Cricetulus griseus: one gene and its partner. The protein of the gene in region 1 interacts with the protein of each later gene in a pairwise test. Links are inferred from orthologs where the notes say so. Each region holds a gene or a part of one and is shown on either strand. Other genes may lie near its edges.

Region 1 (8,751 bases):
TTTCTTTCATAGGAGATTTCCATTGTGTGGGAAGTGAAGTAAACCCCAGGTGAATGCATGAGGAGCAGATGAAGTCCTGAGTAACGAGAGCAGCCACGTTAAAGATCCCAATGGCGAAGACACACAGGAATCAGCAAAGCTTCCCCCCTTGTCAGGCTCAGGGAATCCCTGTGTGACTGCTGACCGAGTTCACAGAGAGCATCAAACAGCAGCTTCCTCCTACCTGATGTTCACAGCCTGAGACTGCTCCCCTACAGGCAGCCCCCGCCCCCAGCCTCACGTCACTACACACAGTAAATGTGCATTGCGTACCGGTGTGTCTCAGTCAGAGAGTACATGTGCCCCACCTGATCCCAGCTTTCCAGTACACGTGTCCTTTCTTCATTCCCTCATTATCCCAGTCAGGTCTCCAGGACTCAAGCAGTGCTGGATGAGGCGACATTATTAGGGGTTTTCATTATGACCATTCTTTCTTTTCTCTTTTGATTTTTTCAAGGCAGGGGTTCTCTGTGTAGCTTTGGTTATCTTGGAACTTACTCTGCAGACGAGGCTGGCCTCGAATGCAGAGATCCATCCGCCTGCCTCTGTCTCCCTGGGATCAAAGGTGTATGCCACCATTGCCTGCCTAGCTTTATGGCATTCCCATACATAAATATTTACCTCTGTTATTTCCCTCCCTTTTGATGTTTTATTGGTGTTTTGCCTGCATATATGTCTGTGTGAGGGTGGCGGATCCTTGAGTTACAGACAGTTGTGAGCTGCCATGTGGGTGCTGGGGATTGAACCTGAGTCCTCTGGAAGAGTAGTCAGTGCTCTTAACCATTGAGCCATCTCTGCCACCCCCCCCCCCGTTATTCCCTTTTTATTCATCCTGTTTTCTTTTCCCTTCCATACTCCTAACAGTAATCCTGCATTTACTTTCATGTCCGCTTAAAAATCCAGAGTTTACATAAGAGAAAACATGTGATGCCTGTGTTTGTGAGACTGGGTTTCACTTAACATGATGGTCTTTTTTTTTTTTTTTTTTTTTTTTTTGTTTGAGACAGTGTTTCTTTGTGTGACATCCTTGACTGTCCAGGAACTCGCTCTGTAGACCAGGCTGTCCTGGAACTCACAGAAAGCCTGCCTCTGCCTCCCAAGTGCAGAGATTAAAGGTGTGTGCCACCACCACCAGGCCAAGGTCTATTTCCATGCATATTGCCTCTCTCTGTTATGTGTGGTGTATGTCTACGTGCCAGTGCGAAGTCAGGAAAGGATGCTGGGTGTTGTGGAATATTGTTTTAAAATGTGCTACATTTGTTTATGTTGTGGGATATTTGTTTAATGACGCAAAGGTGTGTTGCATTCTTTTATGTCACATTTGTCTAACTCTGTGAAGCCATGATTCTTTGCCTGTCTAAAACACCTGAAGGTCTAATAAAGAGCTGAATGGCCAATAGCGAGGCAGGAGAAAGGATAGGCAGGGCTGGAAGGCAGAGAGAATAAATAGGAGGAGAAATCTGGGAAGATGGAAGATTCAGGAACAGAAAGAGGAGAGAGGACTCCAGGGGCCAGCCACCCAGCTACGCAGAAAGCTACAGAGTAAGAAGAAAGGTATACAGAAAAGTAAAAGCCTGAAGGCAAAAGACAGACAGGGTAATTTAAGAAATTCAAAACCTTTCTGAATTTAGTGAGAGACACACACACACTCTAGAGGTAGAAACAAGCCAAGCTAAGGCCGGGCATTCATAAGAAGGGATGTCTTCATGTATTTATTTGGGAGCTGGGTTATGGGCACCCAAAGAGCAAAGAGTAAAGAATAATAATAATTAAAAAAAAGAACTACATTTTGACACTCAACATGGGGCCTAAGGAAGCCTTTAATCCCAGCGCTCAGGAGCCAGGGGCAGAGGCACACGGATCTGAGTTCAAGGCCAACCTGCTCTACAGAGTTCCAGGATAGCCAGGGCTACACAGAGAAACCCTGTCTTGAAAAACAAAACACCAAAGATTTAAAAGCGCTAGGATTACAGATGTGCTACGAGGCTGGCCCTTGGTTCTAAATGTTTCTTCCCTTCAGACTCCGCAAGCAACTCTCAGAAGGAGCTGTCGTGAAAAGGACTGAGCTCAGGCTAGGACTGTAAAGGCTGGTTCCGTTTTAGCGGTTCACAACACCTCTGTCTGGGAACCATCAGTGGCACAAGGGAGGGAGGTGTTTCTAGCTCCTGCCTTCACCTGGCTTTCACTTCCTTCCTTCCTTCTTCCCTCCCCCTCCTCCACTTCTTTTTTTGAGACAGGGTTTCTCTGTATTGATTTGGAGGCTGTCCTGGAACTCACTCTGTAGACCAGGCGGACCTCTAACTCACAGAGATCCGCCTGCCTCTGCCTCCGGAGTGCTGGGATTAAAGCGGGGGTGGCTTTGTCACTTCTAATGGGAAGAGGAATAAGATGAGGGAGGAAGTCTACTCGATAAAAGCCTTGCTAGCCTTAGTGTCCCTTCTCACAACTCAGGAGCTAGGGAGCACAGGCGCAGGCGTTGTTAATCTTTTACCAGAAGGAGGGCCCCAGGCTCTGACGTCTTCTAAGTGACATGGAATAGGGCTTCCTCCGGTTTGCTCAGTCCAGGAGTCCCAGGAAATGGAGAAGCTGGGGCCAGAAAACCCTAGTCTAGAATGTTGGCTGACTCCTAGGACGTGCAGCCAGGGACTTTTTGAAAGTGTTTATTCTGGCCCCACCCAATTCCATCCAGTCCCCAGCTGTCTGCGGGCTCGGGGATGGGGGCGGGAGGTGCACGGTTCTCGGTGGGTGCGTTGAGGTCTGCAGAAGACCCTTTTGACGCTTGCTCTATCTCTGCTTCTGGGCAACCCTGGGCCGCCCCTTCGTCCTCCGGGAACGCAATCGCCTGCTCAGCGTTCCCGAACCAGAGAGAACCGGACGGCGCCGGGTTCCAGTAAGGGCCCCGGGAGCCCTGAGGTCCCGCTAGTTCCTGGCTCGAACTTTCCAGGTAGAGGCCACGTGGCCTCGCCCGGGCGGGGGGCTCGCCTTCCCCCCACCCTTCCTCGTGAGCCCCGGTGACTCAGGCCGCAGCTGTTCCCGCGTCACATGAGGGAGGCTGGCGGCCACCCCGCGGGGGAGGGGGCTGGCTGGAGCCGGGGCGGGGCCGCGCGGCAGGCGGGGCGCGAGCAGGGGGCGCGGGGGACGGCGGCTGGAGCGCGGCTGGAGAGCGTCGGGAGACGTCGGGGAGCGCAGGTGAGGCTGGGGCTGGCGCGTGCCGGGGGACCCCGGGGGCGCCCGCGGGCACCGGGCCCCAGCCGCCAGAGAGCAGCCCCCGCGCACCGCGCACGGCGCTCGCCCCCGGGCCGGCCCTCGAGCAACTTGGCCTCGAAGTTCGCGACGCCCGCGGGACGCTAGGCACGCCGCGCCGCCCCCGGGGCCCCGGAGGGGGGTCGGGGTCTGCGCTGAGCCCGGCCGGCCGCGCCCTGGGTGCGTCCCGGGATCCAGAGGCTGCGAGCCCGCGCCCCCACCCCTGTCCAGCAGCAGCCACCGCCGCCGCCGCCGCGGGGTGGAGGGGGCAGGGAGACGTGGACCTGACCGCGGGTTTCCGGGTGGGAAGGGCCGCGATGGGGGCCGCGCAGGGAAGGCTGCGAGGGCCGGCGGCGAGCTGCGGAGCCGGTGCCCCCCTCTTCCTGTTCTCATCCCCGTGCTTTCCGCGGCCCCAGGCCCAGCAGCCATGGCGGTGGAAGGAGGAATGAAGTGTGTCAAGTTTCTGCTCTACGTTCTCCTGCTGGCCTTTTGCGTGAGTGGTGGGGGGAAGAGGGACAGAGGGACGGGGCACGCCGGCGGGGTGCGGGAGCCGTGAGGGGTGAGGGACCCAGGAGTGAAGGCAGCTGGAGGCCAGATGTGGAAGGAAAGCCCCAAGAAAGGGCCAGAGGCAGAACGCACCCGGTTCCCTCCCTCTCTCCCTCCCTCCCTCCGGCTTTCCCGGACATCGGAGGAGAGTTTGGGCAGAGAATGGCCACCCTAGATAGGCAGCACCCCCATCCAACCCCCTCCTGGCCCTTCCTGTCTGGTGACCCAACCATTTGTGATATGGGGTAGTGGGGCAACCTGCCAACGGTCTTGATGGTATCGCCGCCATGGGGCTACCCCCACTCTCCACCCGATTTATTCATCTCTATCCTCTCGTCCAGTTGTGGAAGAAAGGGCTCTGCCCACCTTTTCTTGCTCCTGCCCCGAGAAGCTAGTGTTTGTTCTGAGAGGGGCCACTCTTACCCGCCTCCCTCCTCCCTGGCCTATAGTCACTGGAGTGAGGGGGCAGTTCTGAGAGAGTCTTTAGAAAGTAATGAGTATTCAGTTTAAAGGAAGACATGACACCCGATTCCTCTCTCCCTGAGTGTCTCCAACAACTTCCCAGCCTTCACTGTGGGGCAAGGATGGGCAGACATATTTCTTTTCTTTTCTTTTTTTTTTTTTTTTCAGTTTTTCGAGACAGGGTTTCTCTGTGTAGCTTTGGAGCCTATCCTGGCACTTGCTCTGGAGACCAGGCTGGCCTCGAACTCACAGAGATCCGCCTGCCTCTGCCTCCCGAGTGCTGGGATTAAAGGCATGCGCCACCAACACCCGGCTGCAGACATATTTCTTTACAGTCAGTGGATCTTGGAGGTGTTAGGAATCTCTTTTCTGGGCCAGGCGGTAGCCCCTGCCTTTAATCCCAGCACTGGGGAGGCAGGGGCAGGCAGATCTCTGTGAGTTCAAGGTCAACCTGGTCTATAGAGCTACCTCCAGGACAGCCAGAGCTATTACACAGAGAAACGTTGTCTCCAAAACACCAGGGGTGGGGGTCAGGTGTGAGGGCTATTCGACTGAGGATCTGATCAAACCCTCACTTTTCCCCTCAGGCCTGTGCAGTGGCATTGATTGCCATTGGTGTAGCAGTTCAGGTTGTTTTGAATCAGACCATCACCCGTGAGACTACGCCTGGCTCCCTGTTGCCTGTGGTCATCATTGCAGTGGGCGCCTTCCTCTTCCTGGTAGCCTTTGTGGGCTGCTGTGGGGCCTGCAAGGAGAACTACTGTCTTATGATTACAGTGAGTGGGGTGCAGGAGAGCAGGACTCCTGGGACTACCAGAGGGCATTTTTGTGGGGAGGTGGGTGGGCGAGGAACACAAGGAGTGTCTCCGGATTGAGTGGAGCAGAGCAAGCCCTTTAAATGCAGACTTCAAACCCAACTCCTGTCCTGTGCTCCTACAGTTTGCCATCTTCCTGTCTCTTATCATGCTAGTGGAGGTGGCTGTAGCCATTGCCGGCTATGTGTTTAGAGACAAGGTAAGTGGGGAGTAAGGGGAACCCTGTCTCTGCGGGCTATTCTGGGGCTCCAGGGCCTGAATTTGCTCTCAACAACCTGCTTCTCTACTTTTAGGTGAAGTCAGAGTTTAATAAGAACTTCCGGCAGCAGATGCAAAATTACCTTAAAGACAACAAGACGGCCTTAGTTCTGGACGGATGGCAGAAGGAAGTGAGTGGGAAGGTTGGGAGGAGGGGTGGTGGGGATTGAAGATTCTCATCTCTGAATTAAAGTGGGGTTTCGATTTAGCAACCTTCCCTCCTCACTCTCCTAGTTTGAGTGCTGTGGAGCTAACAACTACACAGATTGGGAGAACATCACTGGTATGCCTAAGGACCGAGTCCCTGATTCCTGCTGCATCAACATCACTGTGGGCTGTGGAATTGATTTCAAGGAAAACAAGATCCATACTCAGGTAGGGAGAAGACATTAGACTAGGGAAACCTGGGAAATGTTTCAGGAGACAGGAGAGATGCTAATGGAATCAGGGTTGGGGATGAGATCTGGGGAGAAGGGGCTGGGAGGAGGAGACAGTCTGGAAGAGAGGTGGGGAGGGAGGTAGGAAGTTTCTTTCTGTTGGTATCCATGCTTGCCTCTTCCCTTCAGGGCTGCGTGGAGAATATAGGGGTCTGGCTGAGGAAGAATGTATTGCTGGTGGCTGCAGCAGCCCTGGGCATTGCTTTTGTGGAGGTAAGAAATGCTGTGGGTTGGGGCGATCCAGACCATCTGGGGAGCAGGCGGGGCTGGCCTGGGAAGAACGGCCCTTGGACGGGTCTGGGGAAGCTTGCCCTGCCTCCTCTCCATCCTCGTTCCCATCTTTCCTTGTAGATCCTGGGAATAATCTTCTCTTGCTGTCTGGTGAAAAGTATCCGAAGTGGCTATGAAGTAATGTAGGGGGCGGGTCTGATCTCTTCCGTCTTTTCATCTAAGGGAATGGATTCTCCAGGTTTTTCAATTAAACGGATTATTTTTTCAGACCTAAAAAGGAGATGGTCTCAGTTTATCTTAGAATGATGATGGCCCCTTCCTTTTCCTTCTCCCTACCCCTGCCCTGGGAATAGGCAGGCCATTTAGGGGGAGTTTGGGAAAGGGGTATTTTGTTGGTGTTGGCTGGGTTGGCAGTGGGAGAAGTGGGGGATCAAGGAGGATGTGTCCGAGTGCCCTCCCTGACCCCTGGTTTTGTGTACCTTCAGTGTTCTTGGAGTATGTGTTGAGGCCATCTCCTGCGTAAGTCAGAGGGTTTTCCCACAAAGGACCTACGTGGTAAAGCCTGACCCATGTCTATTTTGGCCTCCTGGTGCCTTGAGGGCCCGCAAACTCCTTCCCCCTCAGTCCTCAAGGAGACCTGGCGACTGTCAGAATGGTTATGTTGCTTAAGATCTGTGTGGCCAGTGTCCTTGATCCTTGCCTTAGGTAATGGGAATTTACGTATTTCCTTCTTCCATGGAAGCCTCCGGCTTTGACCATTTTCATCCCCAGAAACATTAGATTATGCCTTGCCAGGTGCAAACGAACTCTCACTACTCTATGTAGAAAAAGCAGACAAAAGTGCCCTCCGGTGGCCATCTCTCCAAGTGCAGCTTCAAAAAACATCTCTAAGTGCAAGGTAGTTCCTTACACCCCCCAGTGGACAACAGAAGTTTTGCAGGCACTAAAGAAGCCTGAGAGTTCCAGCCCTAGGGAGCTTTGGGATTTTAGAAATCTTAGAAATTTTGTCAGGCTCTCACAGGTACCTTCATTTCTGTTCACCTACTTTTTCTTTTAAAGCAATACATATTTATTGAGAGCTGACTTTGTGCCAGGAACCAGGCAGCACCAGAGAGTGGAGACAGAGATAAATGTTTTGCCCTTCAAAATCGGCCTCTTGCTGGAAAGCTGGAATCAGTAGATTGACTGGGCAGGCTGGGGAAGGACCCAAGTGAGCACAGCATCCACCAGGCTGGCTGGAAGGTAGGAGGCCGGCAGCCAGAGCAGCTTGGCATCCCAGCCTGGGCTGTAGCGGGTTCGGGGGTGACGAGCAGTCAGGGCATGCTCCAGGCAGCTGGTCACCTTCGTTAGGTCTGGGTCACAGATCAGGTTCATGATGCGACGCTGAACTTGGAGATCTGTATCTTAGGAGATGCATCGTTAGCGTGCACGTGGTCCCTGCCTCCCCTCCATCCCATCTTAGTCTGTCTTACAGATCACCTGGGCTGGTAGCCCAGTTCAGGAAGTGACCACACCTCCCTCTGTCTCCCCGTTTTCCTCCCTACTAGGCCTGACCTTTCTAGCCCTCTCTTTTTCCCATCATGCACTCAATATGGGCCCAGCTACTCACAAGAAGCGAGGAAGGCTTCCCCATACTGGGCCTGTGTAGACGGTGGTAGCCGGGCCCAACAAGCCTTCAGGGTGTTCTCTAGACTCTCCAGGTTGGTCACAGGAGTTCGGAAGAAGCCAGGTTCCACAATGGAGACTTGTACTCCAAATGGAGCCATGTCCCGCCTGGAGGGTGGGCAGAGGGGTTTATGGGTTTATACCCTAGGTTTCCAGGAGTGAGGAGTCTAAGATGGAATGGTGTCACAGTGTAAGGACACATGTCCTGACAGGAAAGGCTGTTGCTAGTTGGCTTGGGATGAGGACCATGGGAAGTTGTTTTTTTTCCTCTGGCACTGAAGATAAACCTAGGGCCTGTGTGTGTGTGTGTGTGTGTGGTATGTAAGCAACTGAGCCATACCATCACCAGCCCAGGGGGAGGTATCTTTCACTTTGTTTTCCTTGTATTTTCTTAAAAAAAAAGATTATTGGTTATTTATATGTGTATTGCATGAGTTCATGTGCACCATATGTGCACAGGAGCCTTTGTTGGTTACAAGGTGTCAGATACCTTGCAACTGCAGTTACAGGCTGTTATGAACCACCTTGTAGGTGCTGGGAACCAAACCTGGGTCCTCTGCAAGAGCAGTAATCATTCTTATTTTCCCAGTCATCTCTGTGACCCCGTTTTTGGTTTTTGAGACAGGGTCTCATGTTCCAGGCTAGCCTTGAACTCCTGGTGACTTTTGTCTCTACCTTCCATGTGTTGGGATTACAGGTGTGAGCCATCATGTTAGTCTGGATATTTTTCTCTCGTTTTTAAACATTTATTTTATGAGACAGGGTCCCACTATGTAGCATAGGCTAGTCTTGAAAACTTCTTGTACTTAAAAAAATTGTACTTACTTTGTGTATGTGTGTGCCACTATTCATGTCTGGGTGTCTGAGCACAACTTGGTTCTCTCCTACCATGTATGTCCACTGATTTCCGGGTGTTGGGCCTGTAAACAAGTGCACTTAACTGCTCAGCCATTTTGCTGGCTTGAAAAAAAATTTTTTTGACATAGGTTTTCATGTAGCTTGAATGGTACTATGTAGTAGAAGCTGGCCTTGAAAGTGCTAGGATGGCTGGGCGT
Region 2 (8,751 bases), on another chromosome or scaffold:
GGTGAGGGAATTTCCCAGAAAAGAAAGTTTGTTTTTATGATGATTAGCTATTGGAGTGAGTGTGTGTATGAAGGTGTGGTAGTTAGCATGCAGAATGTCTTCAGTCAAGCCTTGCATGTAAGTTTCATCTTTATGTACACACACACACACACACACACACACACACACACACACACACACACACACATCCCTTCAAAAGTGAGATTACCCAGCCAAAGTCAGAGGTGTCCACATCTATTGAGAAGTCCATATGCATTGAGAAAGACCACCACAGGCTTAAATCACATCGGGGGCTTCGAAGAAATCCAGTCAGTCAGCTCACTTGCTCTTAGCATGTGAGCACGCCCGAACAGCATGCTCTTCACACTCCTAAGACCTACAATCGGCACCTTGGAGCACACACATGAGCTCCCTCCCCTTGCTCACACCTACCTAACAGAAAGAGCCACTCATTCAGTATAGAAGCACACACAACGCTAGAAGCACACAATAAATGGACATATGCATCACTCCCCAGCATGTCCACAATGAACAGAAGGATCAAAACAACATGCAGAACGTGTGTGCACGTTTAGGCATTTCCATAACCAAATTCCTATAACTCAGACCTCATTACATTCCTGGGTCCATGAAAAGTATATCTTGATGCAAAATTATTTTTCCATATCTATGACACAAACATACAGAAAATCAAACACACAGACAACACTCCTGGGTGTGGACATAAATGCAGACAATTATGAGTTAGGTAAAGATGTGTTAAGTTTCCCTATAACCTGGGCTGGGTAGAAGGGACCAGATTAGAGGACCCTAGCCCCATCATATCCCGTGTATAAATTCAGAGCCCCTGCCTCCTACTGACAGGGCAGGGAATGCATTCTTAGAGGGGTTCCTGGGCAGTGGCAGTTCCCAAGAAGCACAGGAAGCCCCATAGTCTAAGGGTGACTGATTGACCTTCAGGTCTCTCCCTCCCTCTACAACTTCCTCCTCCCTCATTTCCCAAATGTGTGTCGTCATGAGGATGGGGGGAGGGCTGAGTGGCATGGGTTTGGAAAGGGGGATGGCGGTAAGGGTGTCATCCAGGCAGCAGGCCAAAGAAACAATGCCAAGGTATGTGTTGCGTGTGAGAAGAGAGAGATCTCCCACTCAGGCGTCTACTCATCACACAGAGAAGTATGAGGCATGCACAGTTATATTTGCAACCTTCAACTCTCAGAAGAAACACCCTTAGATATATGCCTGGCTCTCAGGAAGGGAAATTGAGCCCACCAAGGGACACATGCCAGTCACAGAGGCACAGACACACCAGAGAGCTGTGCACATGCAAGCATACCTACTTCTACTTGCTGAGCTTTCTGGATCCTTTTTATAAACCAACTTTGTTTCCTCTGTTCCTGAGCTTGAACACAGTGCTGTGTGTGCATGTAAGTGTGTCTGTCTGTCATATGTACATACAGAGGGCTTGGGATTTCCTGGAGAGCCGTAACCTGCTATCTTGGCCTTCTTCCTAAGGCCGGGTGAGATCCCGGGTAGATACCATCTCTCTGGGCCTCAGTTTCCTGATCTGCACAAAAGGTATAATCAAGACCAAGCACTTAACACTTTCTTGGGGATCATCAGGTATTTGCACATGCCAGTGAATTCCTCACACTTACCCAGTTCCCCAGATAGAGACAAGCCAAACACCTTGACATCCACCCCACTGCATTTCAAACCTGCACAACAATCAAAATCCTCACATGTAACCAGTTGGCAAAAGTGGGCTGACTCAGGTTTTATAAAGAGCTGGTGTCAGAAGCAGGGTCATAGAGGAGAGACTGGACTTTCCCTCTCTTTACTTCTCCTCAGTCCCGCCACCTACTTACTCAGCCCTGTCTCATCTACTCTCACTCCTCACTTTCACAATCAGACAGTTGAGAATTTTGGTTTCCTTTCCTTTGTTCCTTTCTTTGTATCCCTACCTCCCCACCACAGTGATTTCTTCACTATCATTCCTGGACAGGCCATTTGACCCCTTTCTGTCTCTATTTTCTCATTAAATAATGAAAATATGAATTGTAACTCACAGGCATGTTGGGAAGAATAAATCAATTACTTCAGAGGGGAAAAAATCTTAGTATACACATAAAGTAAACCCGAATCTTCAAAGTGCTGGTTACTATTATCGCTGTTATTACTGATTTGACAACTCTTCATTAATTGACATTAAGGGAGAATGAGGACAATAGCAAATGAAGGAACAAAAAATCCAGTGCTTGCTGCCTGACAACCTGAGTGTGAGTTCGTAGGGAAGGAGAGGACTGGCTCCTGCAGGTGGAGAGCAATACAAGCATGAGTACAGCTACACACACACACACACACACACACACACACACACACACACACTGAATAAATATAAGAAATCTTTTGTATATGGTGAGGGTTCTGTTGAGTGCTGGCAGTAGGTTTTTGTATGCTGTGGTTATTGAGCTAATCTAAATTAACAAAATTTAATTAGCTAAAATGACTGTACACAAAGATCTTAGCAATAGTACACAGTAAGTGCTCAACCAAGTAGCTGCTGTCATCACTATCATTATCATTTTGTGTGTGTGTGTGTGTGTGTGTGTGTGTGTGTGTGTGTGTGTGTGTGTGTGTGTGTGTGACAAGGTCTCACTATGTATGTTCCAGGCTGTCCTGGAACTCACTATGTAGACCAGGCTATCCTCAAACTCTCCGGATCCACTTGCCTGCTGGGATTACAGCCATTGTCATTACTATTGGTCTACCCTGCCTGGATTAATTGAGGGTGTTAATCATCCCATAGAACCTTCCACACGACCCCAGAGAATATCCCTGCATCATCAGGAAGCGGGTGGGCAGTAGTTGCCTCATCCCACCCCACCAGGGATGTGGGCTGGTTGGTGGGAAAGGAGCTGGGCAGGATGGGGTGGGGATGGGTTTTCTACTGACTCACTAGCTTCTTTCACCATCATCCACACCCTCACTCCCCCCATTCTCACCACACTATTCCCTGGTTGCCAAGATTGGGCTCCGCCTGAGTGAGGATCTCAGTGTCAAGAAGCCCAGGTTTAAATCCCAGTTTTGTTCTGTGACCCTGGCAAAGTTCTTCACTTCAGCTATTTGCCTGCTTGATTTTGTTTCTGCTTAAGACAGGGTCTCTCGTAGCACAGACTATCTTCAAACATCCTAAGTTCTAGGCTCACTCATGTGTACAACCACAGCAAACTTTTGGGGATAGGTTACCACCTAAGCTCTATCTGCAGGCCACCTCAGTTCCTCTCCCAGTTCTGACACACTTAACTGCCATCTTCAAAAAATAACAGACACTCTCGGTGAATCAATTTCCTCACTATGTATTTGTGTCTCTTCTCCCATCTCATGGCCCTCAACTCTTTTTCTAGTTTGTCTTCCCCTCTGCCACCCCTCAACAAAAACGCCAGGTCCACTAGGAAAGCCGGCCTTGCAACAAAGTAGATGTACTAAGGCGCAGGAATGAAGCCATTGGCTTCAGCCATAGGAAGTTTGGGGAATGTAGGGAACTGGATAAGCACAGGGCTGTGGGGGCTTGGGCTGCCTTTCCATTTCCCCTTCAAGGCCGCCAGGGAGGAATGCGAGTGACGTGGAGCTGGGGGGAAGGGGCACAGTGGGCTGGCTGGCAGTGGAGGGAGTATCTTTAGGCCGGTCCTCCGGCCCGCCCCTAGGCTTCGATTCCTGCGGTGGGTGGATGAGTAATGCGTCCAGGAAGCCTGGAGGCTGTGATTTCCGCGCCAACTCCGCCCCTTGCATGGACATTTATTCTTCACCGCTCAGTCCCTGCCGCCATCGCCGCAGATCGGGCTTCTAGAGAGACACCAGAGGTAAGTGGGAGCCGGGTGTCCTGGCTGGAGCCTGTGTTGGTGCGACCACCAGGCACATCCGGTTCCCTGCCAGACTAGCTGCTTGACTGGGCTTGCAGGTATCAAGACCTCTATTTGGCCAAGGGGGAATACGAAGGGAAGGTTTTTGGAATGAGTATCCCAAGCTAGACTCTCCGGACTCCCTCATGCCCCTAGCATTCATCCCCAAGTGCTCCAAACCCACAAGCCTCTAATGCCTTAAAGACCTCCCAACTTGCCAACTCCTCTGAATTTTTCATTGTTCCCCCAAACCCCTATAGCTCCCTTAACTCCCCCTGCCCTCAAACTTTGCCATGTCCAGCTCCTGGAACTTCAAAAGTTCTTCTGCCTTCAAATTCCTCAACACTCCCATTACCTTAAACTCCCAAATTCCCCCAGACCCCATAACCCCTAAATTTCCCCCAGTTTCCTAAAATCCCAAACCTCCTCTAAAACCCTTAGTAGCCACAAATCCCCATGCCCATTATATCTTAATCTCCCTCAGCTCCCAGCCTCCCCTTATACTTCTCCAGTTTCCCAAACCCCAAATTCTTGACTCCACAAATGTCAGTCTCCAGACTTCTCCAACTCCACTAAATTCTCAAACTTCTCAGCTCCTGGACTCATCAACTGCCACAACTCCATTATCTTCCTATTCACTGTCTCCTAAATCACTGGAACTCAATAAAACCCAAAACTTTCCCAACTGTTTAAGCCCCTAAACCTCTCCAGGTTTCTCACCCCTTAAGATTCTCAGGGTTCCCTAATCTCCCTAGGGCCAATGGGTAAACAGATCAGTTGGGCTGGGGATCAACTACTACCTTGTCTCTCCCAGCAGATACCACTATGGCCCCCTTTGCATCTCTGGCCTCAGGCATCCTCTTGTTGCTATCACTGATAACCTCCAGCAAGGCCTGTAGCTGTGCCCCACCCCACCCACAGACAGCCTTCTGCAACTCCGACCTGGGTGAGTCTAGCCCCCTTTCTGTGCCTCTTAGTCCAATAGGGCTCATGATGGCAGTTATCTCTACAACAGTTGTACTTACCCTTGCATAGATCCACTTTGGCCATATTGACATCCTTAGGCCTAAGCCCACCTTTGTGTTGGCTGTTCCCTCCCAGGTAGATATTTCTCTGTAGTTATTCACATGGGTGGCTACCTCAAGAGTCATCTTACTGGGGTGCCTGTCTACTTTGTTTAAATTTTAATCCCTGCCATATAGTACATCTGATTCCCTGTTAAATAAAACTGTGAATTACACTTCTTAGGGCACAGAAAGGCAGACTTTATTCAGGACCATGGCAATCAGATTTTTCAGTCAGGGAGAGAGATTGGGCTTAACTCTCAACATAGCATAGGCAAATGGAACTCTACAGCCAAGGAACAGTTTAGGGATTGGTGACTGGGAAATCACTGAGAAGAAATATCACAGGCAAGGAGTAAAAAGATTCAGGCTAAGCCCATTTTTTAAAAAAAGATTTATTTTTGCTGGGCGTCGGTGGCACACGCCTTTGATCCCAGCACTCAGGAGGCAGAGGCAGGCTGATCTCTGTGAGTTCGAGGTCAGCCTGGTCTCCAGAGTGAGTGCCAGGATAGGCTCCAAAGCTACACAGAGAAACCCTGTCTCGAAAAAAAAAAACAAAAAGGTTTATTTTTATTTATGTCTATGTGTGTGTGCACCATGTGTGGTGTGCAGGTGCCTGTGGAATCCAGAAGGCATCAGATCCCCTGGAGCTGGAGTTACAAGTGGTTGTGAGCCATGCTATGTGGATGCTGGGAATCAAACTTGGGTTCTCTAGAAGAGCAGCAAGTGTTCTGAACCATTAAGACATCTCTCGAGCCCATGAGCTCACTTTTTTGAGAGTAGGTCTCACTATGTAGCCCAGGCTGGCTTTGAACCCTTCATCCTCCTCACTCAGCCTTCCAAGTGCCGAGATTACAGGCCTGTGCCACCATACCCAGTTCAGGACTCTTGCTGAGAACTGGCCAGTGTAATCACCTGATGGTCAGTGGAAAATATGGAGCCCCTTCACATATCGAGGAGAGTCAGATGAGGGTGGGTTTTTCACTAAACTGATTTAGTATACTTTGGTACAAGTGGATTTTTCTTTTTCTTTTTCTTTTCTTTTCTTTTCTTTTTTTTTTTTTTTTGGTTTTTCGAGACAGGGCTTATCTGTGTAACATCCCTGGCAGTCCTGGAACTCCTATCTGTAGACCAGGCTTGCCTCAAATTCACAGAGATCTGCTTGCCTCTGCCTCCCGATTGCTGGTATTAAAGGTGTGAACCACCACCACCTGGCATCTACAACTGCATTTTTAAGAGAAACTGCACTTATAAGCTTGGAAGAAGGTTAATGAGCCTGAGTAAATTGTGGTCAAGCAAAGAATATGTGTCAATCTCCTCCCTTTTCTAATTCTCCATCATACTTAACAGCCTTTAACAATCCATATACCTTTTTCTCCATACTGGGGATTGAACCTAGGACTTTTCATATGCTAAGCAAATTGAGGTACAAACCCAACCCTTTTGTGAATTTCATTTTAAAACAGGGTCTCACTAAATTGTCTAGACTGGTCTTGAACTCACACTGTAGTGGTCCTCCTTCATCACCTTGACAGAGCTGGGGTTACAGGTTTGTGCCACCATGCCTGGCTACTTAATTTTAGTTATATCCTCCTGGCTTGAATGTGAGATCCACAAGGAAATGGATTCCTGTGTTTGGGTCACTGTTGTGTCCCTAACACCCTGAACAGTGGCTGCATATATCAGGCACTCCAAAATATTTGTTGAGAAAGCCAACAGATGGATATATGAAAAGTGCTTAAAACAGTACCTGGAAGAGTAGACAATGTATAGATGAATCAATCAACAGACATGGAAACATGGAAACCATTAAGTGTGCTGTCTCTATTAGAATTATGCTTGTATATATGTTTTGCTGTTATGGGTTCATGCTGCTCACTTAACTCCTTATTTTCCCCTTCCTTTCTAGTCATAAGGGCTAAATTCATGGGGCCCCCAGAAATCATTTTCAACTTATACCAACGTTATGAGATCAAGATGACTAAGGTATTCCTTCCTTCCTCCCTCCCTCCCTTCCTCCCTCCTTCTCTCCCTCTCTCCCTCCCTCCTCTTTCCCTGTCTCCCTCCATAGCCATATTAACCTCTTCCTCCTCCTCAAAATACTAGCATCTAGCCTTTGGTTGGTGTGGACGTTTCCCATAATTTTGTGATTTAGATATATGACATCAGGTTAAGAGGTAATGGAGTGGGAGGATTAAATCAGTAAAAGATAGACTTTTTGTCACTCATGGGCAGATGCTCAAAGGATTCGACGCTGTGGGAAATGCCGCAGATTTCCGGTTCGCCTACACCCCAGCCCTTGAGAGCCTCTGCGGATATGTCCACAAGTCCCAGAACCGCAGCGAGGAGTTTCTCATCGCGGGTGAGGCCCGCCCCTTCGCTTTGGGCCACACCCCTTCATCCTCAGATGCTTCCTGGCAACTGGGAGGAGCGAGGCTCTAAAGGGAAAGGACCTGGTTGAAATGGGGGCGGGAAGGTTTGTAAACTAATGCTAATCAGGTAACCCCAGCACCACCCGGCCAATCAAAAGCCTGTTGGTTTCTCCATTCCCTTACAGGACGCCTAAGGAATGGAAGTTTGCACATCAGTGCCTGCAGCTTCTTGGTTCCCTGGTATAGCCTGACCCCTGCTCAGCAAAAAGCCTTCTCAAAGACGTATAGTGCTGGCTGTGGGGTGTGCACAGTAAGTTCCTAGAACCAGCTCTCTTTCTGGAGATAATACCTGGAACGGTTTCTTTTTCCCTCTGGCTATTCTTTGTTATTGTAGCTGCTTCCCAAACCCAACCACTGCCTTTAATTTCTCTTGTTGTCCCAAACCTGCTCTTTTGGAGATACTGGTTGTTCTATTATCTTGGGACTGCATGTTCCCTGAACCTTCTCTGCCTCTCTAACTTTTCTTTTGTGTCTACTCTGAAATACTGCTGTCTGTTTCTGATCTCCCAAGATTGGGTTTGGCTTCCCAGGCATGTTCTGCAAGAATTCAACGTGTGATTTTCCAAATCCACAGGGATATGTCGACCTGGCTATTTCAAAACTGTTCCCTGACAGCAATAAATATCCTCTGACCTCAGTCACTGTCTGAGAGCCCCGTTGCCTATTCTTATGCTTAACCTCTCTGCATGCCAACTGTTACCCTCTACTCAGTTCTCTGCCCTGTGAGGCCTGCCTGAGTGACTTCAAGAGATAGTTTCCTACCCACCATTCCAGAACACTGGCTTTCTGTTCCCCAAATGGGAGAAGCTGTTCTCGGGTCTAAACACAGGTGGGGCAATGTCAAGCCTTCCCAGCTGCTCTGTGTTGCCAGAAGGAGAGTGGAACACTCTCCATAGGGGAGGGAACAGGGGAAGAAGAAGCCCCCAGAGTGGACCTTTCTCTCATCTTCCAGGTGTTTCCCTGTTCAACCATGCCTTGCAAACTGGAGAGTGATACTCATTGCTTGTGGACAGATCAGATCCTCACGGGCTCTGAGAAGGGCTACCAGAGCCGTAACTTTGCCTGCTTGCCTCGGAATCCACAGTTGTGTGCCTGGCAATCCCTGAGGGCCTAGATGACCCAAAGCCTACCCCCAGTGGAAGCTGAAGCCTGCACACTGCTCCCCTCCCCTCCATCTTTCTTTCTTTTAGACAGTGAAATAAAGAACTACCACACAGCAGTGCCGTTTCAGTGTAGTGTCTGGGAACAAACTCAAGACAATGATAACCTGGTGGGAGCATCCAGGGTCCAATGAAAAATGAATCCATTTGAAATGTTGAGTTTGGAGGCTGGAAATGTAACTTAGTGGTAGAGCAG

Evidence for each region.
Region 2: the proteins of Cd63 (region 1) and Timp1 interact in binary tests that used the Homo sapiens proteins (3 or more experiments, as listed by UniProt). The link is inferred for Cricetulus griseus from reciprocal best matches to the Homo sapiens genes CD63 and TIMP1.

Annotation. Positions count from the first base shown.
Region 1 is NW_023276806.1:129,012,939-129,021,689, reverse strand, and holds Cd63 (CD63 antigen), read left to right. Parts: upstream 1-2,958; 5' UTR 2,959-2,983; intron 2,984-3,119; exon of another isoform or gene 3,120-3,228; intron 3,229-3,698; 5' UTR 3,699-3,709; coding exon 3,710-3,775; intron 3,776-4,877; coding exon 4,878-5,066; intron 5,067-5,229; coding exon 5,230-5,304; intron 5,305-5,398; coding exon 5,399-5,494; intron 5,495-5,597; coding exon 5,598-5,738; intron 5,739-5,929; coding exon 5,930-6,013; intron 6,014-6,151; coding exon 6,152-6,217; 3' UTR 6,218-6,311; downstream 6,312-8,751. Other genes in the region: Rdh5 (retinol dehydrogenase 5), read right to left, coding at 7,205-7,428, 7,641-7,804. UniProt on the Homo sapiens protein: Functions as a cell surface receptor for TIMP1 and plays a role in the activation of cellular signaling cascades. Plays a role in the activation of ITGB1 and integrin signaling, leading to the activation of AKT, FAK/PTK2 and MAP kinases.
Region 2 is NC_048604.1:125,720,749-125,729,499, forward strand, and holds Timp1 (metalloproteinase inhibitor 1), read left to right. Parts: upstream 1-3,704; 5' UTR 3,705-3,860; intron 3,861-4,713; exon of another isoform or gene 4,714-4,716; 5' UTR 4,717-4,724; coding exon 4,725-4,845; intron 4,846-6,872; coding exon 6,873-6,949; intron 6,950-7,198; coding exon 7,199-7,325; intron 7,326-7,520; coding exon 7,521-7,645; intron 7,646-8,347; coding exon 8,348-8,509; 3' UTR 8,510-8,614; downstream 8,615-8,751. UniProt on the Homo sapiens protein: Metalloproteinase inhibitor that functions by forming one to one complexes with target metalloproteinases, such as collagenases, and irreversibly inactivates them by binding to their catalytic zinc cofactor.